Rattus norvegicus: one gene and its partners. The protein of the gene in region 2 interacts with the protein of the main gene of each other region in a biochemical or structural test. Links are inferred from orthologs where the notes say so. Each region holds a gene or a part of one and is shown on either strand. Other genes may lie near its edges. The genes, in order: Stub1, Psmd4, Nedd4, Prkn, Ubqln1, Btrc and Siah2.

Region 1 (3,939 bases), on a different chromosome or scaffold from region 2:
TAATTCTTGGCAGGTCTATAGTCCTTATGGGAGAACCAGTTGGGGTGAAGTTCAGGCAGCAGGTCTGGGCATACATCTGCCCATAGTCCAAGTTTGCAGTGCTCTCTTCACAAGATGAAGCGTCTACAGACAGCTCTAAGGCACTAGAGATCTACAAGAGTTCTGGGGTCGAGTTACTAACCATCGGAACCATGATGGGGTCCTGGGTGACCCCTCAGGCCCCTGCTCAGAAATGCAGTGAGCTCTTGCACCTGGGCTAGAAACAGCAAGTAGTACTTGAGTGTATGCTGCAGCGTTAGCAAGCCAGGAACTGTAGCCACTGCAAAGAGTGACAAGGAGGTTCTGGGGACATTTTTTTTTTGAGTTCCTAGAGCCCCCACCCAACTTGTGCAAAGATGCTCCCTACTCACTCGAGGCAGTGGCAGAAACCACGCAGCGAAGTTTGACTGCGGCGCACAGATCGGCAGAAAGCCGAGTTTTGCTTCTCCAAGTCCCGGGTGGGGGATGTTAGCGGCCAACAGCTGATGCAGCAGCGGCTAAAAATGCCTCATCTACAGACCTGGGGTCAAAGGGTCTTGGTGCAGGCTCTCTCCACGGAAACCTGCTGGCACCGCCCTTGAAGAAGCTCCGCCCCATGACCGCAGAAGGGGAGCGTCCAGCCGCGGACCCGCAGCTACCTCTATAGCAACCGCAGCAGGTCCTTTCGAGTCAACGCGTCACGTGCTTGTTTCTCAGCCAGTAATGGCCGCAGGCAGCTTCTCCCGATTCCCGAGGAAGCCTCTCGAGGGTGGTCTGACCTGCGGGCCTCTCTCCTTCCCTCAATTCCGCCGTCCTACCAGCGGTCTAGACGTTCCCAGGCTGCCGCATGAGCCCGCGTGCGCCCCGGTGGCGCGCTAGGACCTGGGCCTAGTGACCGGCCCTCGGAGCGCCACTTCTCCAGCACGGACCGCTGCCACGTTCGCGTGGCGTGGGCCGGAGGGTGGGGCTTGACTGCCAATGGGCGGAGCCTTGGTCTGAATATTGAGGGTAGGTCCTAGTTACTGTAGGGCGGGGCCGGTAGAGAGCGCAGCGGTAGCTTCTCCGGGCTAAGCGAACCCGCTCAATCCGCGAGGCTCCGCCTTTGCTCACGTGTCCCCATGCCAGCCCCGCCCCACACCGGAAGTTCCGGTGGCGGATCGCCGACCGGGCGGAGCTGATAGCTGCGCGGGCTGCGAGATCTAGGTGGCCGGGCGCGGAGCCCAAGCCGTGCCGCGCGGCGCCATGAAGGGCAAGGAGGAAAAGGAGGGCGGCGCGCGGCTGGGCACTGGTGGCGGCGGCAGCCCTGATAAGAGCCCGAGTGCGCAAGAGCTCAAGGAGCAGGGAAACCGGCTCTTCGTGGGCCGCAAGTACCCGGAGGCGGCGGCCTGCTACGGCCGCGCCATCGTGAGTGCGGGGGGCGGGGGCGGGGGCGGGGCCCGATGTGCCTCCCAGTTCTGTGATTCCCGGACGATTTCTGGCAGCCTAGACCCGGATTGCTGTTCCCGAATCCAGGGCAGATTGACTGGGGACTGGCGGGCGGGATGCTTGATTGAGGCAAGCTAAGGATGACACCAGAAATTCTTGCCCCTTGAGGCTCCCAAGCCTAAAGCTGGTGGAGGGGTTCTGGGATTTTTCTCAAAAACAGTTGGAGGCAAGAGAGCATGGCTAGAATCCAGAGCTCTGATAACTCGGAAATCTCCAGTTCCTCTCTTCCACCCATGGGCCCCCAATGCTGGAGAATTGTCCGGATCATTGGCTTTCAGCTTGCTATTAGAGAGGGGATCAGATGAGCCCACATTCTTTGTCACCTGATCTTGGTTCCCAGACCCGGAACCCACTTGTGGCAGTGTACTACACCAACCGGGCCCTGTGCTATCTGAAGATGCAGCAGCCTGAACAGGCACTTGCTGACTGCCGGAGAGCCCTGGAGCTGGATGGGCAGTCTGTGAAGGCGCACTTCTTCCTGGGGCAGTGCCAGCTAGAGATGGAGAGTTATGATGAGGCCATTGCCAATCTGCAGCGAGGTGGGCTGACAAGATGCCAGATTGTGGGCACCTTTGGGGCCAGGATTGTTGACAAGTGTAACCTAAAGTGTCCACTCCCCCAGCCTATAGTTTGGCCAAGGAGCAGCGACTCAACTTTGGGGATGATATTCCTAGTGCCCTTCGCATTGCTAAGAAGAAGCGCTGGAACAGTATCGAGGAACGGCGCATCCACCAGGAGAGTGAGCTGCACTCCTATCTCACCAGGCTCATTGCTGCTGAGCGAGAGAGGTGGGTCCCGCCCCCAACAGTTAACACCGAGTCAACAGTGCAAGTGTTTATTAAAGGACAGCAGCCGGTACATGGGAAGCCCGGGAGGAAAGAGGCCTGAGATGGGAAGGGATCTGTCATTTCCCTGTTGGGGCCATCACCAGCTGGCTTTTTCTTGACCCTCAGGGAACTGGAAGAGTGTCAGCGGAACCACGAGGGTGATGAGGATGATGGCCACATCAGGGCCCAGCAGGCCTGCATTGAGGCCAAGCACGTGAGGGTGCCCCTAGTCCACATGTGGGTCGTTGTGTGTGTGTTTTTGTGTGTGGCATGAGAAGTGCCCCAGCCTATGGTGGCTCTGTTGGCCCATGCATGACATGAGTGCCCCGGTGGACAGAGTGTGTGTGTCTGTGTGGAGGAGACAGGAGTTGCCCACACATGGCGCTCAACTCTGCAGGATAAATACATGGCGGACATGAATGAGCTCTTCTCTCAGGTGGATGAGAAAAGAAAGGTAAGGACGGAGCCTTGAAGCTCATGGGCAGGCTCTGGTATGGTGACTTCCTTTCCAGTTGCAGACATTTCCCTCTTGTGCTGCAGAAGCGAGATATCCCTGACTACTTGTGTGGCAAGATCAGCTTTGAGCTGATGCGGGAACCCTGCATTACACCCAGTGGCATCACCTATGACCGCAAGGACATTGAGGAGCACCTGCAGGTAAGGAGGGCCTGTGGTCTCGGGACTGGGATCAGGGGACACTCAGGCCATTGAATACTCTTGACTCTGTCGTTGCAGCGCGTGGGCCATTTCGATCCTGTGACCCGGAGCCCTCTGACCCAGGAACAGCTCATCCCCAACTTAGCCATGAAGGAAGTCATTGATGCTTTCATCTCTGAGAATGGCTGGGTAGAGGACTACTGATACCCCATGTCCTGCCTGGCACCCTGGCCCAGGAGGGTCTGGAGGCAGAAGCTCCAGTCCCTGTATATAGTTTGTGTCCCTGGGCCTGCCCCCATCGGTCCTGATGATGGGTTCTGAACTGCTCCCCTTCTCAGCATATCCCTTGCTGGGCCATGAGCCTCCCTTGTCTCCCTTCTGGGCTGGAGAGCTGGTGAGGGTGGGTTGCTGCTGCTGCTGCCACTGTCCTGTAATAAAGTCTGTGAGCACTACATTGGCATGTGCTGGTGCAGTGGGCTTGCCAGTCGCTTGTTGGCTAGCCAAGGAAAGTGGATATGAAGACACTGGTGTCCAGATTGAGTGTGGCATGCCACCACCGATCAGGAAAGTACAGCGCCTGGGAGAAGGGGCACGGAAAAATAGTCTGATTCCCTAGTTTTTGGGTTAGCCCAACCCCCACCTACCAGCTACTGACTTCACCAGCCTGGATGGTACATTCTAGAGGCCGAGCTGATGGGGCTAGAGATGGGTATATTTCCAGGAGCCAGGCCAACGTGGTCTTGTTAGGGTGGAACTCAGGTGTCTTCTCAGGAGGGTAGAGGAACCAGCGCTGGAGGCAGGAATGTTAAGGTCACTCTCATGTGCTATGGACTACAAACACCAAATTCATGCCCCACCCTTGCACTGACCTTCCGACCATAGATAACCTCTGAGAAACCAGGCCCATGCCAGTGGAAGGGTACCCCAGATCCAGCTCCTGTGGGGTCAGTTG
Region 2 (4,158 bases):
AGATGACCTTGACCTTGTAGCCATTCCACTTTGTAGTGAGATCACAGGCAAGCTCCAACAGGCCTTCTTTTCTTTGACCCCCAGACAAGGTCTTATTGTATATAAGACTACCCTGACTACCCTGGAACTCATTATGTAGATCAGGCTGTTGTTGAACCCACTTATCTGTCTGCCTCTGCTTCCCAGGGGTTGGTGTTAAAGGTGTTGATTAACAAACAAACCAAGATAACTTGCTGGTTTTTCCTCTGTTCTTTGGGTGAGTACATGGTGTTCATTGGGGGCTGGAGAAATGGTTCAGTGTTTAAGAGTGTTCACTGCTTTTCCTAGAGTACCAGAGTTCAGTTCCCAGCACTCAGATAGTCAGTTCACAACTGCCTGGAGCTCCAGTTCCAGGAGATTTGATTTTCTTTTTTCAGCCACTGCCAGCACCTGAATACACACACAAACTCTTAGATTTTTTTTTTCTTTTCTTTTTTTTTGGAGCTGGGGACCGAACCCAGGGCCTTGTGCTTGCTAGGCAAGCGCTCTAACACTGAGCTAAATCCCCAACCCCCACACTTAGATTTTAAAAAAAAAATTTTTTTTTAAAAATTGGTCAAAACTTTTCTGGATTCCTTCATCCTGTCAGAGTCAATACTAGAGATAGGGACTGCAAAGATTTTTTTTTTCTGTACTTAATTAAACGCAGGCAGTAGAGGGGGCAGGGAGAAAAAAAAAACGCAAGCAGTAAATAAATCAAATTTGAGGGTACAAGTGTTTATAGCAATTGCATAAACACAGTGCAATGGGAAACAGGGAGTTAAGAGTGTGATTAACGATCCTGACACATTGTCAAAATGATTATGCTTGAACTGACATATCCATAGTAGTGCATGCACACGTGTGTGTCTATGTGTTTTTCAGGCAGTCTCACTATGTAGCTATGTAGCCCAGGTTGGCCTGGAAATTGCAGATCACATCTAAGTATGATGGTGTACCATGTAAACGGGGGTGAAGCAAGGAGATCAGTTTAGCCTGAGTTCCACAGCGAATTTGCAGCCATCCTTTCTCAAACCGTAACAACAAAAACAAAACAAAAACCCAAACATATACAGAGAGCAGAGGAGGGGTAAATTACAGCTCTCCTGCCTTCCACTGCAGAATGTTGGTGCCTGGCGAGAGCTGTGCAGAGAGGTTGCACACCTGTGCAGAGAGCTAAGAGCTAGCTGCTCCGGAAGCAAGCGGCTGCTAAGGTAACCGACTCAACTGGATGAGCAACCCTTACATGTCCACGACGCCTACAAGTCCCAGAACGCACCGCGGGGCGGAGGCGGGGCAGAGGCGGGGCAGCGTGAAGACTGAGTTCTTTGATTGGTGATGAGCGCCAGGCCAATCGGAGGTGCTGTTGTTTGTCAGTCCCGGAGCCGGTCCGCAAAGGAAAGGTGGCAAGATGGTGTTGGAGAGCACTATGGTTTGGTGAGGAACTTCGGACGTGGCCGGGGGCGCGTCTGGGTTGCTGTTGCGCGTGGCGCCGAAGCCTGAGGGCCTGGGTTGGGGACTGGGCGGCCGGGCGAGATGTGGCTTTGGGGCCCGCAGGAGACAGGCAGGCGACTCCCTGAGTCATCCCGGCCCAGGAACGCAGGCCCGGGAACCCTGGTTCCCTTCCTGGACCCTGCTTCCCTGTCTCCCGTAAAGCAGACGCCAATCGCCCCTTCCACTCGCCTCCAATGTTTTTCCTCTTCTCTGTACTTTTATCTCACGTAAACCTCACAACAGCATTCAAGGAAAATAGTCCTTCATTCCATAACGAGTCTGAAGGACTTTAGGTGATCTGCTGTAGCCACACAGCCAATTAAGTGGTCGTGATGAGCAAGAGTCAAATTCAAAACTACAGTGTTCTTCTCCGATGAATTAGTTCTTACCAAGTTTACACTTGGGATGAGTACCTATTAGGAGTTAGATTAGAAACTGAGGACAAGAAAAATAAGTAAAGCTGAGAACATATTTTTTCAGGGCTACAAGAGGGCTTTGTTTTTGTGTTTTCAGATACTGGGAATTGAACCCAGAGCATCGTGAATGCTGGGAAAGTGCTCTACCAATGAGCCACACCCCTTCTAGATTGTACTTATTGTCATCGTTATTTTTTTAGATGGAGTTTTGACACTGTAGTTCTGGTTGGTTTTGAAGTCTTTATTTGAAAAGATACACAGGCTGGCCTTGAACTTGGGATGAGTATGTAGGATTATAAGCCAGCGTCCCTAGGCTCGTGTTTCTGTTTTGGAGGGCAAGGCAGAGGGTTTTCATGATCAGGACTACCTAGCAAGATTCTGTCTCAGAACAAGACAACCAGGATGCCCAGTTAAATTTGAATTTCAAGCAAATCAAGAGTAATTTTTTAGTATAAAAAGGGAATTTTTATAGGTTTTTTTTTCTTCTGGAGTTGAGGACCGAACCCAGGGCCTTGTGCTTGCTAGGCAAGCGCTCTACCACTGACCTAAATCCCCAACTCCTTAAAAAGGAATTTTAAGTGCAACCCAAATATTGCTCTTACAAGTTACTTGTGGGAGCTGGGCAGTGGTGGTGTACACCTTTAATCCCAGCACTTGGGCAGCAGAGGCAGATTGATCTTTGTGAGTTTGAAGCCAGCCTGGTCTTCAGAGCAAGTTTTAGGACAGCTCTAAAAAGATGATAAAACAAAAACAACAAAAGAGTTACTTGTTGAGGGTGAGAGGCGACTCAGTGGGTAAGAGCACTTGCTGGTCTTGCAGAGAACTAGAGTTTGGTTCCAAGCACCCGTACTGTACTGTTCACTGCTGCCTTCTTGACAGGACCAGAAGAGCCAGTGCCTTTGATCTCTGTAGATGTGCATGCAAACATACCTAAAAACAATAAAAATAAAACTCGAAAGTCATTCATTATTCACCTGAAACTTAAAATTTAACCTTAAGTCCTGTATTTTTTTCTAAGTATTCACTTCTGGGAGAGAGTATTAAAAAGAAGATGGATTTAGAATTCAAACTGTTTGCTGGTTGGCACTTAGGTTTTGCACATTGTGGGAGAATTGTAGTAACTTCTGTGTCTCATAGTATAAGTAGGTAAGCCGTACGTATGTGGTGGTGGTGTGTGGGAAGTCCTCAAAATTTAAGAGGTGTAAAGAGACATGTTGAGGAGGAGAGGTCATTACAAAGTTGCTGAAGTAAAGGTCCCATGTTGGAGAAATAGACCAGAGTGACCCTTTACACAGATTGTTGTTATAAGGTGGGAGAAGTCACTGTAGAAAGACATGTCTGAAGACTTGAGCTCTGTTCTATACCCCAATAAGGAGATTCTGAGGGTGATGGAGTTAGATCTTTGTACAGACTGGTATTGATTTAAGAATATTGATCTGACTAGATGTGGTACACACCTATAAATGATGGTTGAGACAAGGATCATGAGTTTGAGGTCAACTTGGAATGCATATTGAGGTCCTGCTTCAAAAAAAATTACTGGATTGATACATGAAAGGAAAGATTAGGACCCGTGACTTTAGTGGTCAATGTGACTGCCCAGGAACAGAAGAAGGAGACCCACCCTCCTGTTTTCTGAGGTGTCCTGCATTTCCAGGCAACAGGATTCTCTGTAGGGGCCTATTCTAAAATGCAAGTGTTTTGACTTTAGCCTTAATCTGCTGAATCAGATTCTCTTGTTAGTTTTTTTATACACGGCATTACACTTGGACAGTAAAGCTAGCCTAGAGCTCACTGTTGTGTTTATTGTTGTTATATAGAGATGTTAGCTCAGGTCAGACGCGCTGCCCCACACCTGTAATCCTGGACTTAGGAGGTAGACTCAGGAAAATCAGTTCATCTTCAGTTATAGAAAGCTCACCCTGTTTCTAAGGGAGACTGAGGTTGGGAAGGGGCAGAGTGAGAGGATCTCAGTATGTTGCCCCCAAATCCTGGATTCAAGAAGTCCTCATTCCTTGGCTTCCCAAGTAGCTGAACCTACAGGCATGCTCTGTTGCCTGTCCTGTGTTGACAGATTAATTGATTTTGCAAGACTGAGTAAGGATCAAACCCTGGGCCTTGTTGATGCTAAGCAAGTACCCCACCACAGAACTTCCTCCCAGCTGTGGTCAGGATTAAAATTATGGTGTCATGGGAAGGTTGGGTAATACCTTTAAGCCCAAGTTTTTAT
Region 3 (2,674 bases), on a different chromosome or scaffold from region 2:
AAGTTACGCCTCTTGAAAACCTTCTGGCAATGATGCGTGCACATTTGGAATTGATTATGGGATTTGAGGAGGAGAGTGGAAAAGTCACAGATCAGAATGTGAGCCGGCTTATCTGGCACTTGAGATGTTGAGGATTGGAGACAGCTAAGTGGAAACTCTAAAAGAAAAAGAAAGGCAGTTTCTAAAATGTCTGTAATGAGAAAAACTGTAGACCGTGTAGCAGGGCCACATGCACACAAACTGCTCTAGGCTAGCGGTTCTCAACCTGTAGGTGGCAACCCCTGGAGGGGTGTCACATGTTGGATATTTATACTACAGTCCATACCACTAGCAAAATCACAGGTATGAAGTACCCACAGAACAACCCTATGTTGGGAGTCAGCACAAAGTGGGAGGCTGTGTTAAGTAAGGGCCGCAGCATGAGGAAGGGTGAGAACCACTCAGGAAGACTCAGGAGTCCCACTACTTGGGAAACTGAAGTACAGAGACTGACAGAAGTTTGAGGCCAGCCTCAGCTACATTGTGAGTTCCAGCACAGCCTGGACTAAGAGCAAAACCCAGTCTTGAACAGCAGACAAAGACGCCCTGCCCCATGACTGAGCAGGTCAGCCCTTGCCACCAAGCTTCATGACCTTAGTTAAGTCCTCAGAACCCACAGGTGCAGAGAGAACTCCCACAGGTTTTTCTCTGACCTCCACACATGCACATTTAGATACGGAGAAAATAATAAATACTTATAATCAAAATACTTAAAAGCTAAGACTGGCTCAGTAACAAGTGTGTTCATGGCATATGGGAGGCCCTAAATTAAATGTTGAAAAACAAATCAAACAAAACCACACAGAAACCACACAAAACCCTCCCCACGGCGACCTCATGAGCTAGGATTGTAATGACTCTCACAGCCTTCAGCTATGGTTTTTCTGTCATTTTTCAGTTTTTACAGTGGCATTACGTAATCAGGGAAAAAAATTAAAACTGGTTTCAATGAGAATCAAAAGCAAGAAGTCTGTCCGTCCGTCCGTCCATCCTTCCTTCTTTCCTTCCTACCTGTACCTGTACCTGTACCTGTACCTGTACCTGTACCTGTACCTGTAAAGAAAGCCCTGATTCAAGATGCAGCTGGGTCAGGTCTAGCAAAACGCTGAGTGCCACCTAGTGTGCCACAGTGGGGCAGAGCACAGCACCCTCAGGTGAAGTGACAGACAGTTTTATAACTCAACAGTAAATCCTAGCACAGGGGAGGCTTCATTTTCTCTTCTGATTCGTTTTCTGTGTGTACAAGTTTTATATATGGAAAAGTGTATTTTGAATTGTCTAGGGACTTGTGGGTAAAGTAAGTTAAACCACAGAAACTTGTCTTCTCCACAGGCTCAAATGGACCACAGTCCTTCACAGTGGAACAGTGGGGCACCCCTGATAAGCTGCCCAGAGCACATACCTGGTGAGTAGCTGTTCTACCCTAGACAGGACATAGTCCCTTGCTGCTGGCATAGGAGCCACTCCTACTATACAGGTGTGTGGCAGCCTTAGGAGAGACAGGAAGGGACAGGAACATGGATCCTGAAACCCATGCTGCTTGGGCTCAAAATTCAGGTAGCTAAGGATATAGAGGCCCTGGGCTGGAGAGCTTGTTCAGTGGTTAAGAGCACTGACTCTTCCTGACTTCCAGTTCCCAGCAACCACGTGGTGGGTCTCAACCATCTGTAATGGTATTAAATGCCCTCTTCTGGTGTCTGAAGACAGCTACAGTGTACTCATACATAAAATAAATTAATCTTAAAAGAAATAGAGGCCCAACTAGTTTAGTTGGCTATATATATATACATGTATGTATATATATATATATATTTTTTTTTTCTCCATTCCATGAGTATTGACCTTTTCCCCAAAGTGCTAGAACATTCCGTCTTAAAGGCTATCATGATCTACGAACCCAGTCATCTGGAGACAGGTGTGAGGGCAAGATTGCACAGGGGGTCAGGAGAGCCTCCCTGGCAGCTGTGACCTCAGAATGCAGTGATGGAACACGCTCTTGACAGGCAGCAGCGGTCTTGTGGTTACCATGGGGACGTTTCCCCCTTCACTGTCAATCCTAACCAGATTCTCTCAATCTTTTCAGCTTCAACCGCCTGGACCTGCCACCCTATGAATCCTTTGACGAACTCTGGGATAAACTTCAGATGGCGATTGAGAACACGCAGGGCTTTGATGGGGTTGATTAGATTACAAAAAACCAAGCTGTGGTGTCTTATACACCATAGTTCCTAAGCAAAAGCAAAAACAAAATCACATTTTAGCATTTTCCAGATAACTTCTAAAAGATGGCCACTGGCTCTTCAAGAGTCCAGAGGACAGTTTGTTTATCCATGATTTCAGCCACCACCACGCTGACTTGTTCCTTTGTCCAGTTGTTGGGGTTCATGTGTACGGCAGGATGTGAGTCCTGTGTGCCTGAGTTCTGACCGTATTTCATCTTGCTAGGCACATCCTTCTAAAACTACTGAGATTCCAACTGTGAAATATCTGTAATGAGTAGCTGGTGGGAAAAATTGACGCTTTTTTAAGATGAAATTTGGACAAAGAAAGTCTTTAATGATTGATTCATAAACCGCGACACACTTAGTACCACGTGTCGCTTACTTACTCTGTAGACCTGCCTAGTGTACCTTAT
Region 4 (3,500 bases), on a different chromosome or scaffold from region 2:
TGAGCATTTGTTCAGTCTGTTGGAGCAGAATATTCTATACACTCATGGGAATCTCGAGATTCCAATCAAGCAAATTCTCCGCTTGATTCCCTCTGTTCCAGAAGGACTGTGAAAGGCACAAAGCAGTCTTGGTTTGCAGGTCACTGGCCAGGGTATAAGCAGGAAACACCTTGGGAAAACTGTTTTTGTTTCTGTTTTTTGTTTTTTTTTTTTCTAACTATTGCTCTATAGAATAAACTTCTCTGTTATAAATGAGAGAAAATTTTTGTCATTCACTGGAGGGCAGGTGAGGGGCAAGAGGCTTCAGAGACATTTCACTGGCCATTAAAGGCTTGGAGTAATGTTCTTTCTTCTCTCTCTGCCCCTGGTCTTGTCTAGTGTTTGTCAGGTTCAACTCCAGCTATGGCTTCCCAGTGGAGGTCGATTCTGACACCAGCATCTTCCAGCTCAAGGAAGTGGTTGCTAAGCGACAGGGGGTTCCAGCTGACCAGCTGCGAGTGATTTTTGCTGGGAAGGAGCTGCAGAATCACCTGACAGTACAGGTGAGTCTCCCTGGGTGGGTGGTCCCTGGGATGTAGCCAGGGCCAAGGCCCTTGCAGTTTATGCTGCCAATCTGACATTCATGCCTGAGATCTAATAGAATAAATAGTGCCTGGGGATTCCTTGAACTTTACTCCACACGGCTTCATTAATTCTGACCTTCTTAATTATGCATTAAAACAGTATGCAGGAAGGACTGGAGGAACAAGTGTGAGTGAGCCAAGAGGGGGAGAAAGAAGCCAGGCGCTCGGCTTAGTGAATAAATGTTTACTGACTGAGGGAGCAGGAAGGCACAATTTCTGGGTCTGTTCAATTTTTACCTTCCTTATTCCATTTGAATCTTAATGAAGAAGGATTCAAATAAATTGTTCCCTATAAGGCTGCTCAGCCCAAGCTCTGTGAGGGATTTACAACCCGACTGTGACCCCTGGAGGACACTCACAGCTGCTGCCTGGACTACAGCAGACACTGGCCCAGGGCCCCATTTGCCGAGGGCTCTGAGCGGTGGATAGGCAGCCTGGAAATTACACAGCAAAAGTCCATCTTCGTATCTCCAAGCATATACAGAGTTATCCCTGGCCTACACCCCGATACAGAACCAAGTGAACCATGGGGTTCTGCTTCCTGTGTATCTGGCCCCTGCTGTGCCATGGAAACCCTCTTCTTTATGGCATCTTGTACATTTGGAGAAATGAGTTTTGCAGGCATCCAAGGAACTGGTTAGCAATCGATGCGCAGGCCGGTTGCCTAGAATGAGAGAACAGTGAGTGTTTTGGAGGGAAGTTCAGCAGAAATGGCCACATTTACTCAAGTGATTAGAAGCAGGGAAAAGCTCGTTCCCTCCTCTCGGTGTATGGTGGAATTGAGCCCCTGCTCCCAGTTGGATGGGGATCTGTGTTGTATTCAGACCTCAGACTGCCTAGTCCCGTCAGTCCTCTTGTGGACTGAGGTGTTCGCTGCTTTGTGAAAAGCTTTTTGGAATGTGGGTGTACAAAGAAACTATAGAAATGCAAATCACTTCTGCTATTCTCCCTGCCCCCGCTGGTGGCAGTAGGACTCACGCCCATTGTGCAGAAACTGCTGTGCCTTGCTTTCCTGCTATTTGTTTTCATAAGGGAAGTGCCTGTGCTAAGAAGTGTTTTGATTTTGTTTTTTATTTCAGTCAACTAAAAAGCTTTCTGCCATTCCTGCCAACTTCTAAACCTAAGTGGTCTCCTTCTCAAATAAATGGTTCTAAAGCTGTTTCTTGAGTCCAGATAGACTTTATTATGAGAACCATTAGATTTTAAAGCCCCTTCGCCTGTACAAGGTGGGGCGAGTGTAACAGTTAGCTGTTCCTTATTCAGTAAGATTAACTGCTGTGGGGGACTGATTTTTATAAAAATCTATGCATTGTTTCAACAGTATTAGCTTGGTTCACACTTTTAGAGCTTCCAGTGCTCAGAGCTTCTCAGGGGCTTGGGTGAAAAGGAGTTCATTCCAGAAGTCTGCTCTTTACCCGCTTAGGGCTCTAAAGTAAAGGAATTCGAGATCAAACTGTCTGCCAGCACCACATAGGATGAAATCATTGAGGTGCCATGAGGTCCAGCCTATAGTACGCACATGCTATGCATAGTTAATGCTGTATAGCCCATAGATATCGTGATGTTTCAAAGGTGCAGACTGGGAAGGTACCAGGACAGAGCTCCCAAATGGACTGAATCCAGATGAGGATTCCTCTGGTGGAAGGACAGCACCCTCCACAGCCTCGGGAGGGAAGATGGGCTTCGTCCTTCCGGAAGCTGGAGGCGATACTGAAGACAGAGGGAAAGATGGAGTCGGCAGGGCATTTGACAGAATCCTGACAGACCTGGCCCTGCAGTGAACGGGATTCCATAAAACGCCATGGGAAGGGAGCTGAATTTCCAGGGGTGCTGAGAGTTTATGAGGAGTGGATATTTATGGAGAGATATTTAACTAACCGTTGGAACCTGGGTCTGGATGTAGGGTGCAAATTTAATATTCACAGATAGTTGCCCAGAGAGAAATACTTTTACAGCAAGTGAAATAGATTCAATCACCAAGGGCTGAGCACAAAGCAGTATGAGTATCCTCATTTCGGTGACAAGGACGCGTGTCAGGAAGTACAGTCCACCCAACTGGCACTCTTGAGGCTTTCCTACAGACTCTAAATTCCGAGACTTAAAACATAAAAGCAGAACATAGCTGTTCTTAGGGGCTGAGGGGATCATTCAGTGACAAAGGTTGTCACAGAAACACAAAAACCTGAATTCAGATCCCAGAACCCACTTTAAGCCTGACGTAGCGATAGCCCTATACAGTTGCTTGTAATTCCAGTGCTCTTAAGGGGACATCAGAAGCTAACAGGGCAGCTAGCCTGGCAGCAGTAAACAAGACACCCTGCCGCAAATTCAGTGAAGGTGGGAACTGACATGTGTGCTTGTCCACACACACACACACACACACACACACACACGAATGTGTTTGTGCATATAAACACTGTACACATAGACACAAAGTTTTTTTTTTTTTAATTTCTGTTATAAGCAATGGGAATTTGGTGAAAGTGACAGAGGACTCTGTAATATGTTCAGCTCCACTTATCACTGAAAGGAAGCAGACATACTTGGAGAGTTCTCAGAGGAGAAATGCTGTCTATCAAGCTCGGCCACATGGACTAGCCCCTGCCTTTATGAATGGCTGACACTTGCGTCAAGTCATAATGAGTGTGAGTCGATTTTGCATCCATTAAGACTGTTTTCCTTAACATAATATCATGCTAAGCACATGCATGGTATTCTAACAGTGTTGATATCTTCATCTACCTATTAAATCTTTAGATTGTGTCCAGTTTTTAATGTAACAAATCAAGGCAAATGGATGTTAACACACAGGATACACATTGGAGAATTTGGCTTCTTTGTCTCACATTGCTCATTTTAAAGGCAGAAATAACTGAG
Region 5 (4,300 bases), on a different chromosome or scaffold from region 2:
TGGGGGGACAGGGTATGCTTTCAACTTTTATCACATTTACTGCTCCCACAGGAAACAGATAAACCAACATTAGAATAAGTTACTTTAGGAAAGCTTTACTTTTACCCAGTAAAGACATTTTTACAGCACAGCAAAACATAAGCTTCCACGGAATTTAAAATTCTAGTGTCACTATTCCCCACTCCCCCAAAAAAACCCTATAGATAATCACCTAAATAATTTTTCTATTTATAAAGTATTATTTCTAATGTCCTGAAATAAAATGTGGAAGCTGCCAGGAAGATGGAAATCTAAACTGGGACTCTCAGGAAGACTCAAGAGCTTCATAATTTAGTATGTCCACACATTCATTACTCGGTTACAATGTAAAAAAAAAAAAAACCAGGGCTGGAGAGATGGCTCAGTGGTTAAGAGCACTGACTGCACTTCCAGAGGTCCTGAGTTCAAATCCCAGCAACCACATGGTGGCTCACAACCATCTGTAATGGGATCTGGTGCCTTCTTCTGGTGTGTCTGAAGACAACTACAGTGTACTCACACACACTAAATAAATCTTTAAAAAGAAAAGAAAAAGAAAAAACCCTATTCGTACCAAATATTAACAAGGAGACAGAAGGAAGGAGCACACACCCATATGATGTAGACTGAACTGCAAAATAGCACATTTTTCATGTTTCTTATAAAACTAAACAGAACTGGCAGAGCATGGTGGTGAATGCCTTTAATACCAACACTCAGATGAGTAAGGCAGATGAATTTGAAGCCAGTCTGGTCTACACAGTGTGAGTTCCAGGATAGCCAAACTTCCAGAGTGAAAGCCTGTCTTTTAAATAAAAACAAAAGCAACTAAACAATAACAGAGCATATGGCCTCAAAAAGGACTCCTGAGGCTCTTCACAAGAACTGCAGCTGAAAACAGATGACCCTGGGCAGGTGACGGCACATTCATGGTGTGGAAAACCACTCAGCAGTTAAGTACTGAGCTGAGGACTTGGTTCAGTGGTAGAATGAAGCCTGTGCCTAGTATGCAAATCTCTGTCGTGGGAGGGATACAGACCTCACTGGGATGAATCTCAAAAACTATGCTGAGTGGAGGAAGAAAAAAAGCCTTATCCAGAAGACCACATGAGAGACAACTAGGTCTCTGTGAACTCAATCTTGTAGGAAAAACAATCCTTACAGGGGTGACAAAAAGAGGAACGGAAGGAAGCCTGTAGTTCACTCTAACAGGCTCCACTATGGCCTGCTTGGCTGACACAGGTGTAGATGGAGCTGGGGAAACCAGCCAAGGCAACCATGTCCGTATCACTGCGCCTCTCATCATGTGGAATACCATTTTTCAAAGACGTTGTTCTCAAGCCACTAATATTTATGTGGCTTACCTTCCTTATAAGGGTAATACTGATATTTGCAGTATTTTTAATAGTAAGTGTATTTTAGAAGTAAGAGATGCCCAATACAGAAAACGCAGGAAAATGTCAATTGTGGGTGACGGACACACCTGCTGGAAAACATAAAGACGGTAAACTTTTTTTTATAGCAGCGTTAACGCACAAGGAATGATGCTTCAGTCAACCAGAGTTTCTCTCAATGTGCCACACATCCTCTTGCTTCAGAAAAGAAACCGACTTCACCTTTGGAACTAGATAAGCCTTGAGAGAACTTACAGGTACATTCCAGTGGCTGTTCCCTGCTTCCTCGCATAAAACTGTTTACAATGTTTGATACTGTCAACAATTCAAATGCTCTAGACCGTGTTGAAAACTACATTTGATAGGTTCTACCAAGGCTCTTAATTAGCTGCAAGATTTGTTTTCCTGAATAGACTTTAAGGCAATTATCGGCCTTAACATCAACCATGTTTCCTTGCGGTCCGTTGCAACCGCTAAGACCCAGTCAGGTGTCTTCTCATCTCCCTAAAAAAATCAAACAAAAACCTATCCAATGAGTGGCAGCTAAGCGATGACGGAAGTATTGTTCACAGAAGCAGCAAGTCGCCTATGAATCAAAAAGTCATTTACTTTTTTCCTTTCAGGCGTGAGCTAGTACAGTGTGACTGAAAACAAGTTCCGCGTCATAATTTTTATAATAAAAGGCTGAAAGGTGGGGGAGAGTTCAGCATTCAAAACCGAGAACTAGCCCTCCACGTGCTTCTCGCCCCCAAACCTCTCCAATTCCCAGGCAGGTAAAACAATGACCCCCACCCAGCCTGGTCAAAGGCCGAGCGACGCCCGCGCCCTGCCTCCCAGCAGCTCCCGGCTCCTTTGTGAGGACTGGGGTCCCGGGGCCCGGAGCTCGGCGGCTGCGGCGCAGCCCAGCCCAGGCCGCGCGGCTCACTCGTCCCGGCCCCGCACAGCTCACGCAGCGGAACCCGGCGGGACCTGACCGGAGCTCCCCGGGGCCGCCGCCCGGCCAGGCCGCCCCTTCGCCGCCCTCCCCGCCCCGCCGGCGACGCAGCGACCGCCTGGCCCGCGCCCTCACCTGCTGGACCGAGCTGTTCTCGGGCACAGCGAACTCTTCCTTCTCTTTAGGCGTCTTCACCGTGACCTTCATGATCTTGGGCTCTGCGGGGCCGCTGTCGGCCGCACTGTCCTGAGCGCCCGGTGGGCCGCCGCTCTCTGCGCTCTCGGCCATGGCGGTGACTCAGGCGAGCGCGACACTGGGGGCTGCGGCCGGGTCCGCGGGGCGCGACAGGTTGCGGGGCCACCGACGGTGCGTAGACGCGGGCTGCGGGTGCAGGCCCCGGTGGGCGATCGGCTGCCGTGTGGACGCGGGGACTCTCCGCGTCGCCGCCGCTTCCTCCTCCCGCACCTCCCCCACGCTCGTCGCCGGGCGCCGCGCGGGGCACGCTGGGTAACGCGCTGGCCGCGGCGCCGACTCCTGGCGGCCGGCTGCGCGAGGCACGCCGGGTAGCGCGTTGGCGAAGGAGCCGACTCATGGCCTGGCGGCGCTCGTTCCTTTCTTAGCCGGCGGACGAAGCGCGGGCTCCTCCAGGTCGAAGGAGCGCTGGGCACAGCGGGGGAACTTAACCCACTTCGCGTCTCCCGTTCTTCTTTGAAAGGCATTTAAACAGGGGTTTCATGGAAGACGCCATGATGGTGCACTAAGATGACGTCACGGGCAGCGAAATTGCTAGAAACGTCTGGCCCTTTGCTCTCGGTCCCGGTATCCTCCCGACCTGGTCCCCGTGGGCGTTGGCTTATAAAATAGCGGCGAGTTACTTTATTTTAATAAGCGTAGTGTTTGCCCGGGTGGAAGGAGTTACGATTGCCTTGTCTTGTGCTCAGGGCTTGGAAGCTAAGCCAATGGTGAAAGGTCTTCAAAGGAACACGAAACAGACGCCAGTGAGCCACCAGCGCAACCGCAGGCGCTCACTGTTTCAATGAGGCCAGAGCTTCCCTCCATGGAGTCAAACAGGTTTGGTCAGAAGACAGGACAACCCATATTGTCTGTCTTCCAAGCTGCGTGGGGGCAGAAACAGAATGCCTAGGACTGTCCACCCAACGGGTAGGAGTTAAGCCCAGCTGATGTGTGCCTTTTGTATTCTGTCCCATTACGTTACTGTGCAGCTCGCATCAGGGATAATGGTTGAAAACTTATTTTCAGCATAATGTAGGCACAAATAAGTCATTCACAAGTGACTCCCACATCCTTTATTCGCAAAGATAGCATGTAATACAGTCCGGCACTTTGTTAATCAACATTGCACAAACGTGAACTCTGACAGTGTACCGTGACCCTAATATGCAAAGACATTCCATAGTTCTGCTCTTAGGCCATCAAACCCTGTTCTATGATTAACTACTGTTGCATAAACACTTCTTAGCAGAGCCCTTTGAAATCTGGGTCAGAGTTTCGAAGGTAAATGGCGACCCAAGTGTCACTTGATATCACTTACATTTCTGTCAGCGTTGTTCGATCACAGGAAGAAGTTACAAGCTTTATGTCTAGGTGTGAGAAAATTGTTAGTTCTTGGGGTAGAAAGTTCCACCACTGAGCAAGCAAGCATTTTGGAATTTTCTCATGTTTATATATATAAAATCTCCTTCCAACTTCATTAGTTCCTCTGTTGACTGGTTTTCCTTCCTGCTGTATTCTCCCTGTGTACTTCCCTAGGCTGCCTTCTATGATGACATCCCCCCCTTCCGCCCCCCTCACACCTTTCCCTGCCTAACTTTCTGTGATCTCACATCATATCCCCCACCTCCTGGAAGTCTTCATTCTGTTGCCCTTTAGAAACCCGATCTCTTTACTCTAATACAGCGGCTGTAGATAACCTTTACTGATGTTTGTATGGAAT
Region 6 (3,500 bases), on a different chromosome or scaffold from region 2:
TCTCCGCAGAGCATATGTGGAGGTCAGAGGACACCTTCTAGGAGTTGGCTCACTCCTTCCACCGTGTGGACTCCAAGGATTAATCTCTGGTCATCAGGCTTAGTGTTGGGGCTTTCTTTCCCTGCTAGCTCATTTCTCCAGTCCTTTTCTAGTATTTTTTCTGCTTTTCTCAGCAGCACTGTTTATATTATAGTGATATGTACCTCTTCAGGCAGAGTATATGTTCCTGACAGCATTCTGCTGGGTTTGTTCATTGTTGTAGTCCTGGCACCTAGAACAGTGTTGAATACATTGTAGATACTCAATAAATATCTATTAAATGACTCAGTTACTAAAAAGTATAGCCTTTAATTTTTTGATAACCAGGAAGGTGGAATTTTTTTTGAAAGAAAAGGTTAACTTGAGCTTATAAGTTATTAGACTTTTTTTTTAAATTTTTATTTATTTATTTAATGTGTATGAGTATACTGTTGCTGTCTTCAGACACACCAGAAGAGGGCATCATATCCCATTACAGATGGTTGTGAGCCACCATGTGGTTGTTGGGAATTGAACCCAGTACCTGTGAAAGAGCAGCCAGTGCTCTTAACCACTGATCCATCTCTCCAGCCTGAGTTATTAGACTTTTGTGAGGTCTGTAAATATTCATTGGTCTTTCTTTGTGTATAAAACTTATTTGACTTAAAAAAAAAAGTTAGTGTGAACAACTAATTATCTACCTGTCCAATAACTGCTACATACGATAAAGAACAAATTAAACTTTTTGCTTGCTAATAATGATTAAATGCATCTGGCTCTCAGTTTTTAATCTGTGTATCCCCGTAGATTAAACTTGTAGAAATGGATGCTTGGTCTTCCCACGGTATACCTGATTGACCTCCACTTTGGTATTTGTAAGGCTTTCCACATGATCATGGTTCAAAATACTCAATTGCAATAAATCCAACAAGAATAATTCAGTTGCAAAGATACACGTTACATACCAGACAAGGAGATTTAGACTCTTTCCCTCATTTTCAATGCTTGCTGTTAAATGATTCTTTCAATCCCCTCCCTCCAACAGACAAAACTTGCCAATGGCACCTCCAGCATGATTGTGCCCAAGCAGCGGAAACTCTCAGCAAGCTATGAGAAGGAAAAGGAGCTGTGTGTCAAGTACTTTGAGCAGTGGTCAGAGTCTGATCAAGTGGAATTTGTAGAACACCTTATATCTCAAATGTGTCATTACCAGCATGGGCACATCAACTCCTATCTAAAGCCTATGCTGCAGAGGGATTTCATAACTGCACTGCCAGGTATGTGCACATCCTTGTAAAGTCTGAGTTCATTCGCCATAGCAGTAATGGAGCTGGATCTTCAACCTTATTCTCCCCAGCCCTGCTTCTCCATAACCTAGATTCACAATGCAGCCAAGACCTGCCTCAAATTCAGCAGTCCTGTCTTAGCACTGACATGCTGGGATATCAAGCATGGTGGCACACGCCTTTAATCTCAACATTTGGGAGGTAGAGGCAGGTAGATCTTTGTGAGTTCCAGGCCAGCCTGGTCTACAAAGTGAATCCAGGACAGCCATGACTCTGTTACACAGAGAAACCCTTTGGGGGTAGGGGTGGGGCAAGAAAGAAAAAAAGAAATCAATTGCTGAGACTACAAGTGTAACACTCCTAGCTACATTTCTCTTTTTAAAATTTTTGTTTGGAGGCTGGAGAGATGGCTCAGTGGTTAAGAGCACTGGTTGCTCTTCTCAAGGACCTGAGTTCAATTCCCAGCACCCACATAGTAACTCACAGCTATCGGTAAGTCCAGCTTCAGAGGATCCAGCAACCTTATTATACAAACATATGTGCAAGCAAAACACCAATGCACATGAAATAAATTTAGAAATTCTTGTTTGCTTTGATAGTTACAGACCAAGTCATTAATTATACCTTCATCAAAATAAAAGAAAAGTCAAACTGCATAATTAAATTCCGTTTTACTTTGTCTCCTGACCCTCTGCTCAGCCTTTTTTGTTTAACCTATATGCAGTTCCAAGTCTAGTTTTGTGTTTTCCTTAACTGTTACCAGATTTGAAGCATGACTTATATGCTTTATTTTCAGTTCTTTTCATGTACTTGAATTTGGATGTGAATTTTAGCAACAAAAAAAAACCACACACACACACACACACACACACACACACACACACACACACACACACACAAAATGAGTGTTTATTTTGTTGTTGGAGTTGTTTAAGAGACAGTCTCTCTACCTAGCTCAAGCTGGCTCAAAAACCAACGTCCTCATGCATTAGCTTCTACCACATCCATTAAAAAAATGCTATTGTAGGAATTAATTTTTAAAAAGCATTTTTTAATATTTTAGAAGAAAGGTCACAATCTTCAAGAAGTGAACCCCGAATTCTGTGCAAACTAGATAAATACTCCGTCACTAAGTAAGCGTCTCCAGAGTGTCCCCTCCCTTCTTTAACAGTGATCCAGAACCCTGCCAGGCATGGAAATAGGAGGTTTACATGGGCTACACTTTCCTTAGGGAATAGTTAGTCATCGTCGACACATCAGAATACAGCTATGTATAAATACATATACATGTGCATATGGATGGTGGCTCAGCCAGTAATAGTCAGTGTGGAAGCTAAGTTCCTGAGTTTGATCCCCAGTCTCCAGAAGAGAGCTGAAAGAGGGGTACGTTTGTAGCCCCAGCCCTAGGGAGGCAGACGTAGGCAGACCCATGGGGCTCACTGACCTCCATTCACACATGTGAATACACACACACACACACACACACACACACACACACACACACACACACAGAATATAGAATACAGTTGCCCAGAACTCCACCACACAGTTCTTTGTTTTTCTTATAAAGTTCCGATCAGTGTGTTTATTTCCCTATAGATCTGGAGCCTGTTTTTTAAAAACTTTTCTTAATATGTTAAAGCCTATTTTCCTAAGTGTGGGTTATTTTAAATGATTTAGTCCAATAGTAGGTTGTATAGTGTGAATACATTCTTTACCCTTTGTTAATTTTTCTCTGTATAAATTATACCATGGTAGACATTCTTATGCATTAATTTATAGACAGTCTCAGAAGAAAAACACCCAAAGTAGAATTGTTGTATTAAAGACTATGAAGAGTTTCGGTGTGCTGTGATTTTGTTTTGTTTGTGTTTATTTTGGTTTCATGGTTTTTTTGTTTTTTTTTTTATGTTTCTGGGTATTTTGGTTTGGTATTGGGAATTGAACCCAGGGCGTCACACAAGCATGGTGCCGCTAACCCCCACCTGCTGCCCTAGAGCAGGAACCTTTTAGAGAGTTTCTTCTCCTTTTGAGATAAGCTCCTACTTTGTGACTTAAACCGACCTCAGATGTCAGCGTTCCCCCTGCCCCACCCCTCCTGTGATTGCAGCTGGGCACCCCACCAGCAACCTCACTTCTAAGGCTCTGGTCCATGCTGACAGCCTCTCCTCCAGCACACTGCACTAGCAGGAGCTG
Region 7 (4,283 bases), about 40 Mb from region 2:
GAAATCAGTGTGGTGGTTCCTCAGGAAGATGGGAAATGATCTACCTCAAGACTCAGCTCTACCACTCTTGGTCATACAGCCAAAGGGTGCTTCATCCTCCCACAGGGACACCTGTTCAAACACGCTCATTGTTTCTCTATTTATAATTACCATAAGTCAGAAACAGCCTAGATGGCTCTCTAAAGAATGGATAGAGAACACGTGGAACTTTTACTCGTTGGAGTATTACTCAGCCATTAAGAAGAATGCAGATGAACAGAACTAGAAAGAGTTCATCCTGAGTGACCCACAGTGATGGAGAACAGACCCTGACACACAGCCTGCACAGGGCCTGAAGGACCTCTGCAAGGGTCCTCTGGGTATAAATTATGACTTCCAGAATGTGAGAACAAGGGGGTCTTTGACTCCTTGTGCCTTTTCCTGGTCTTTATGTTATTTTTATCATCCCTTAGATGCTTGTTCTTTTTTAATGAGAGACAGAGAGGGAGTGGATCTGGATGGGAGGGGAGGTGGGAAGGAACTGGGAGGAGCAAGGGGGGCAGACCGACTGTAACCAGGTTGTATTATAGGAGGGGAAAAAATCTACTTTCAATAAAAGGAGGAGGCATGAAAATATTTAATTCAAATTGCACAGATGCTGCACTGAGTGAATTAATAAGCAGTACCGGGTGTGAGGCTAAAGGCAAGCAATTTAATAAGGTGACCCTATAGCCTAAACCCTCATTCAAACCCTTATTCAAATAAGCTACTTTAACTGTGCTTGTAGTTGGGCAGAAGACCAAAGTAACTCACTCATTTTACTGATTTGACTCGGAAGTCTAAAATGAAAATCTCCAGTGAGCTATTTTTAGTTTAAAACAGATCTTGCCCTAAAAACTAATCACCACTGAGGAGATAATGCAAGACAACTTAAACTGTCTCAGGTAGAACAATTACTTTCATTAAAAAAAAATCTCAGAAATATTAACATTATTCCCACCTACAACTTTAGAAAATGAACTCGTTGGTAGAGGTCTAGATTAGAGAGAGGCATATAAATGAGGTTGTAAGGCTTTTTTTTTTTAAGGGCTTCAGTACTGGCAACAGTATAACCACACAAATGTAACCTATCATTTAAAATACAGAAGATCAAGTCAAGTTTCAGACATGAAACAGGTGAGGATATTAATTTGTAAAGCTGGTTGTAAAAGGGAAAAAACATTATCTCTGTGGGTACTTTTAAAAAAGCTTTCAGAGGCAGACATTAACGATTCTATTAATTTAGCTGTGCGGGTGTAAATGTAGGCTCTAAACGAACAGGTGGAACAAGGGAATGAGAGCTTGCACTTTGGCTTGTGGTTTGCTTCTCCTCCCTACTCCCCAGGAGCACAGGTAACTCTTTAAATAAAATGCTGGCACTGAAGAGAACTAACAAAGCTCTTGAGTGTCCTCGATGAGTCCTCGTGGTCGCGCTTAGGTAATAAACAACAACCAGACCAAACCAAACCAAACCCCAAACAGCAGCCACAATTTCAGAGTTCTCCCCAAGTCTGGGAGGCTGCGAGAAGGCGTGGCTTGCAGGATTTTTTCCGCACTCGAGTGAAGCAGGCAGTATCCGCTTCCCCTGTGTAAGCGCACTCTCAAGAGAGCTCCCAGATCTTGGGCACTGGGTCCATTCCTAACCATGCTTGTTGCTGGAAACCGTCCGTGTCCTTCCTCCACAATCTACACGGTCAGCTTCCCAGTTTTAGTTAAGCTGTCCAGCCTTACAGAGCACACCCCTGCAGGGGACGCGGCGGCACTCGGTTGAAAGAGCTGGGATGCTTCTAACCCGCAGCAAGTGCCAACTTAATCTACAGTCAGTGCTCTGGCAAACATCAACCCTAGTTGCTAGTTCCCAAAATGGACAGGTGGGCGGTTAACAATAGGCACACACACCCACACACACACACACACACACACACACACAGAGAGAGAGAGAGAGAGAGAGAGAGAGAGAGAGAGAGAGAGAGAGAGTGTTAGAGAGACAGACACATGGAGAAGGAGACAGAAAGAAGGAAAGCAGTGATATGCCATTCGCTTCTCAGGGCCTTCAAGTGCGCTGGAGGGCACTGGAACTCTGGAAGGTTCCTTGGCAGATTTGCGGATGGTGGTTGGACTTACCTTACAGGGAAACAGAACTGCCGAGGCGACCTTCTCCATAGCCAGGTTCCTGATGCTGGGCGTTAGGGCGCCCCTGCACGTCGGGCAGCAGCTCAACTTCTGGCGGCATTGGTTACACACCAGGTGCCCGGCCTGGCACTGCAGAATGGGGGGCAGGACATAGTCAAAACAGACCGGGCACTCGAAGAGCGAGGTCAGCTCGTGGTGCTGCGGGGACACTGGGCCGGCCCCGCCGCCGGCGCCGGGGCCTGAGATCACCGCTGCCGCGGCGGGCACCGCGGACGAGCCGGGGCCCGCAGCCGAGATGGTGGCGGCAGCCGGGGGCGCAGCCGGGGACGGGGCGTGCGGGGTCTGAGGCGGCGGCGGCTGCTTGCTGCAGGGTTTGTTAGCGCTGGGGCCGGTGGAGGACGGGCGGCTCATCGCGCTCCGAGCCCACCATGGACCTGCGGGCTTCTGCCTGCCGCGGGGCCGCCCGGGTTAAGGCGGTGCGCGCCCCGCGGGTGGCGGGCTCCGGGGTAACGCCACGGCGCCCAGTCCGGGGACCGGGCGCGGACCCGACCAGCACCGGGAGGGCGGGGACGCGACCGCGCCGATCCTCTCGGCGGCGCCCGGAGTGGTCGACGCTCTCGGGGATCGCGGCCGTGCGGTGCCCTCCTCCGGAGGCGTTCTGGTGCGCAAAGCCCTGGCCCACCCGCTTCAGGAGCCGCAGCTGACGCAAGCCCCGGGGGCGCGCGCGGACGTGACGCTAAGACACGTGTGCGGCCGACCCGGCACTCTGGGACTGGCAGAGCCACCCTGCGGCCCGCGCAGCTCCGCCCGGCCCAGCTGGCAGCGCCGGAGCGGTTTCCCGCTGGGAACACTTGACTCGGTCGGTCGCCGCCGCGCGGGGTCGCTTCTCGGCGGTGGCGGAAGCCAGCCGGCAGCGCAGGGAGAGGACGCAGCCCAAGTCTTCCGACTCTTCCCAGGGGACCTACACCGACGCGCACAGGACTCCAGCCAGAAGGGCAACTGCTGGCCCGGCGTGGGCGTGGACGGCGCGCGAGTGCGCCAGGGGTGGGGCGGGGCAGGGGCGGGGCTCGGAATCCCCACGTTTCTTTTAGGGTTGAGTCATTGACGCGCCGGAGAAGCTTGCGATCTTGCTGCTCAGCCCGTAGCTTGACACGCGGGGGCGGGACCCGGAGTCGGGCGGGAGCCGCGCGAAGGCCTCGGGTGTGGCCGGGCAGTTAGGTATGAGGGTAGACTCTCCAGTGGTCCTGCCCTTAAGGCTAGGAGGTAAACCCGCGGTTTTCCTTCAAAAGCCCACTGGCGAAAGCTTCTTGGAATTATTTGGCCGCCTCCGGTCCAAGAGAACCCGGACCTCTTGGAGATCTCTGGCTCGGTGGAGAATTAAAATCTCCAAGGAATACCATACACGTGGGTTGGGTTTGTGAGGCCCAAAATGACAGGAGACCCTCTACTATCTGAGTCCTTAATATCTAGTCCTGGTCCAAGCCTTAGGCTTTGAAGCTTACCTGGGGCTTTAAGAGGAAGGTAAAGGATTGTGAGTTCAACGTACCTGTTACCAACCCTCCTCAGCTTGACAGGATTGGTGCTGGATTCCTCCTGAGTCTTCTTTATACACCCCGACATGTGGACTGTCTCAGAGGTGTAAAGTAAGATGTAGACTTAGAGGTGTAGAATAAAGGGCACCTACAGGGGCTGGAGAGATGCCTCAACGTACTATTCTTAGAGGACCAAACTTTGGTTTCCAGAACCTACAATCGCCCATAACCTCAGCTCCAGGGGATCTGATGCCGTTTGGCACCAGTATACATCGTATACACACATGCCCATAAATAAAAATTAAACCTTAAGGGGGTGTTGGGGTGGGGCAGGGGGCATCTACACCCCACCTTCCGATCAAGCAACAAGAGAATTCTACAAGGGTTCCCCTAGTCTCCAGGCAGTCACCATTCAGAACCCATCGAGGTCAGAGAGGAGCCAGAGAGCTTGGAGCAAGCCGTATTTTGATATAATGGATATATCCTGCTTGGACAAAAGTTTTGTGCTTGAACTGATGACACTGAAATTGGTAAAGCTTTACTCTTTGTAGGTAAAACAGATTAGTCAGGACAGGGTGAAACAGTGCCCTGTGACTTTCA

What was found.
Region 1: of the proteins of Psmd4 (region 2) and Stub1, one has a biochemical effect on the other in vitro, tested with the Homo sapiens proteins (5 studies listed by BioGRID, with this or other methods). The link is inferred for Rattus norvegicus from reciprocal best matches to the Homo sapiens genes PSMD4 and STUB1.
Region 3: of the proteins of Psmd4 (region 2) and Nedd4, one has a biochemical effect on the other in vitro, tested with the Homo sapiens proteins (4 studies listed by BioGRID). The link is inferred for Rattus norvegicus from reciprocal best matches to the Homo sapiens genes PSMD4 and NEDD4.
Region 4: the proteins of Psmd4 (region 2) and Prkn form a complex in vitro, tested with the Homo sapiens proteins (6 studies listed by BioGRID, with this or other methods). The link is inferred for Rattus norvegicus from reciprocal best matches to the Homo sapiens genes PSMD4 and PRKN.
Region 5: the proteins of Psmd4 (region 2) and Ubqln1 form a complex in vitro, tested with the Homo sapiens proteins (6 studies listed by BioGRID and IntAct, with this or other methods). The link is inferred for Rattus norvegicus from reciprocal best matches to the Homo sapiens genes PSMD4 and UBQLN1.
Region 6: of the proteins of Psmd4 (region 2) and Btrc, one has a biochemical effect on the other in vitro, tested with the Homo sapiens proteins (2 studies listed by BioGRID). The link is inferred for Rattus norvegicus from reciprocal best matches to the Homo sapiens genes PSMD4 and BTRC.
Region 7: of the proteins of Psmd4 (region 2) and Siah2, one has a biochemical effect on the other in vitro, tested with the Homo sapiens proteins (2 studies listed by BioGRID). The link is inferred for Rattus norvegicus from reciprocal best matches to the Homo sapiens genes PSMD4 and SIAH2.

The regions. Positions count from the first base shown.
Region 1 is NC_086028.1:15,354,778-15,358,716, reverse strand, and holds Stub1 (E3 ubiquitin-protein ligase CHIP), read left to right. Parts: upstream 1-1,157; 5' UTR 1,158-1,260; coding exon 1,261-1,422; intron 1,423-1,843; coding exon 1,844-2,042; intron 2,043-2,125; coding exon 2,126-2,291; intron 2,292-2,324; exon of another isoform or gene 2,325-2,456; coding exon 2,457-2,544; exon of another isoform or gene 2,545-2,727; coding exon 2,728-2,784; exon of another isoform or gene 2,785-2,870; coding exon 2,871-2,987; exon of another isoform or gene 2,988-3,065; coding exon 3,066-3,191; 3' UTR 3,192-3,439; downstream 3,440-3,939. Other genes in the region: Jmjd8 (jmjC domain-containing protein 8), read right to left, coding at 3,484-3,564, 3,643-3,777, 3,857-3,924. UniProt on the Homo sapiens protein: E3 ubiquitin-protein ligase which targets misfolded chaperone substrates towards proteasomal degradation.
Region 2 is NC_086020.1:185,294,402-185,298,559, reverse strand, and holds the start of Psmd4 (26S proteasome non-ATPase regulatory subunit 4), read left to right. Parts: upstream 1-1,358; 5' UTR 1,359-1,429; coding exon 1,430-1,455; intron 1,456-4,158. UniProt on the Homo sapiens protein: Component of the 26S proteasome, a multiprotein complex involved in the ATP-dependent degradation of ubiquitinated proteins.
Region 3 is NC_086026.1:82,344,795-82,347,468, forward strand, and holds part of Nedd4 (E3 ubiquitin-protein ligase NEDD4), read left to right. Parts: intron 1-1,371; coding exon 1,372-1,444; intron 1,445-2,122; coding exon 2,123-2,225; 3' UTR 2,226-2,674. UniProt on the Homo sapiens protein: E3 ubiquitin-protein ligase which accepts ubiquitin from an E2 ubiquitin-conjugating enzyme in the form of a thioester and then directly transfers the ubiquitin to targeted substrates. Specifically ubiquitinates 'Lys-63' in target proteins.
Region 4 is NC_086019.1:52,202,232-52,205,731, reverse strand, and holds part of Prkn (E3 ubiquitin-protein ligase parkin), read left to right. Parts: intron 1-378; coding exon 379-542; intron 543-3,500. UniProt on the Homo sapiens protein: Functions within a multiprotein E3 ubiquitin ligase complex, catalyzing the covalent attachment of ubiquitin moieties onto substrate proteins. Substrates include SYT11 and VDAC1.
Region 5 is NC_086035.1:6,442,940-6,447,239, reverse strand, and holds the start of Ubqln1 (ubiquilin-1), read right to left. Parts: upstream 2,801-4,300; 5' UTR 2,635-2,800; coding exon 2,482-2,634; intron 1-2,481. UniProt on the Homo sapiens protein: Plays an important role in the regulation of different protein degradation mechanisms and pathways including ubiquitin-proteasome system (UPS), autophagy and endoplasmic reticulum-associated protein degradation (ERAD) pathway.
Region 6 is NC_086019.1:254,295,364-254,298,863, forward strand, and holds part of Btrc (F-box/WD repeat-containing protein 1A), read left to right. Parts: intron 1-1,063; coding exon 1,064-1,295; intron 1,296-3,500. UniProt on the Homo sapiens protein: Substrate recognition component of a SCF (SKP1-CUL1-F-box protein) E3 ubiquitin-protein ligase complex which mediates the ubiquitination and subsequent proteasomal degradation of target proteins. Recognizes and binds to phosphorylated target proteins.
Region 7 is NC_086020.1:145,078,876-145,083,158, forward strand, and holds the start of Siah2 (E3 ubiquitin-protein ligase SIAH2), read right to left. Parts: upstream 2,801-4,283; 5' UTR 2,563-2,800; coding exon 2,143-2,562; intron 614-2,142; exon of another isoform or gene 1-613. UniProt on the Homo sapiens protein: E3 ubiquitin-protein ligase that mediates ubiquitination and subsequent proteasomal degradation of target proteins.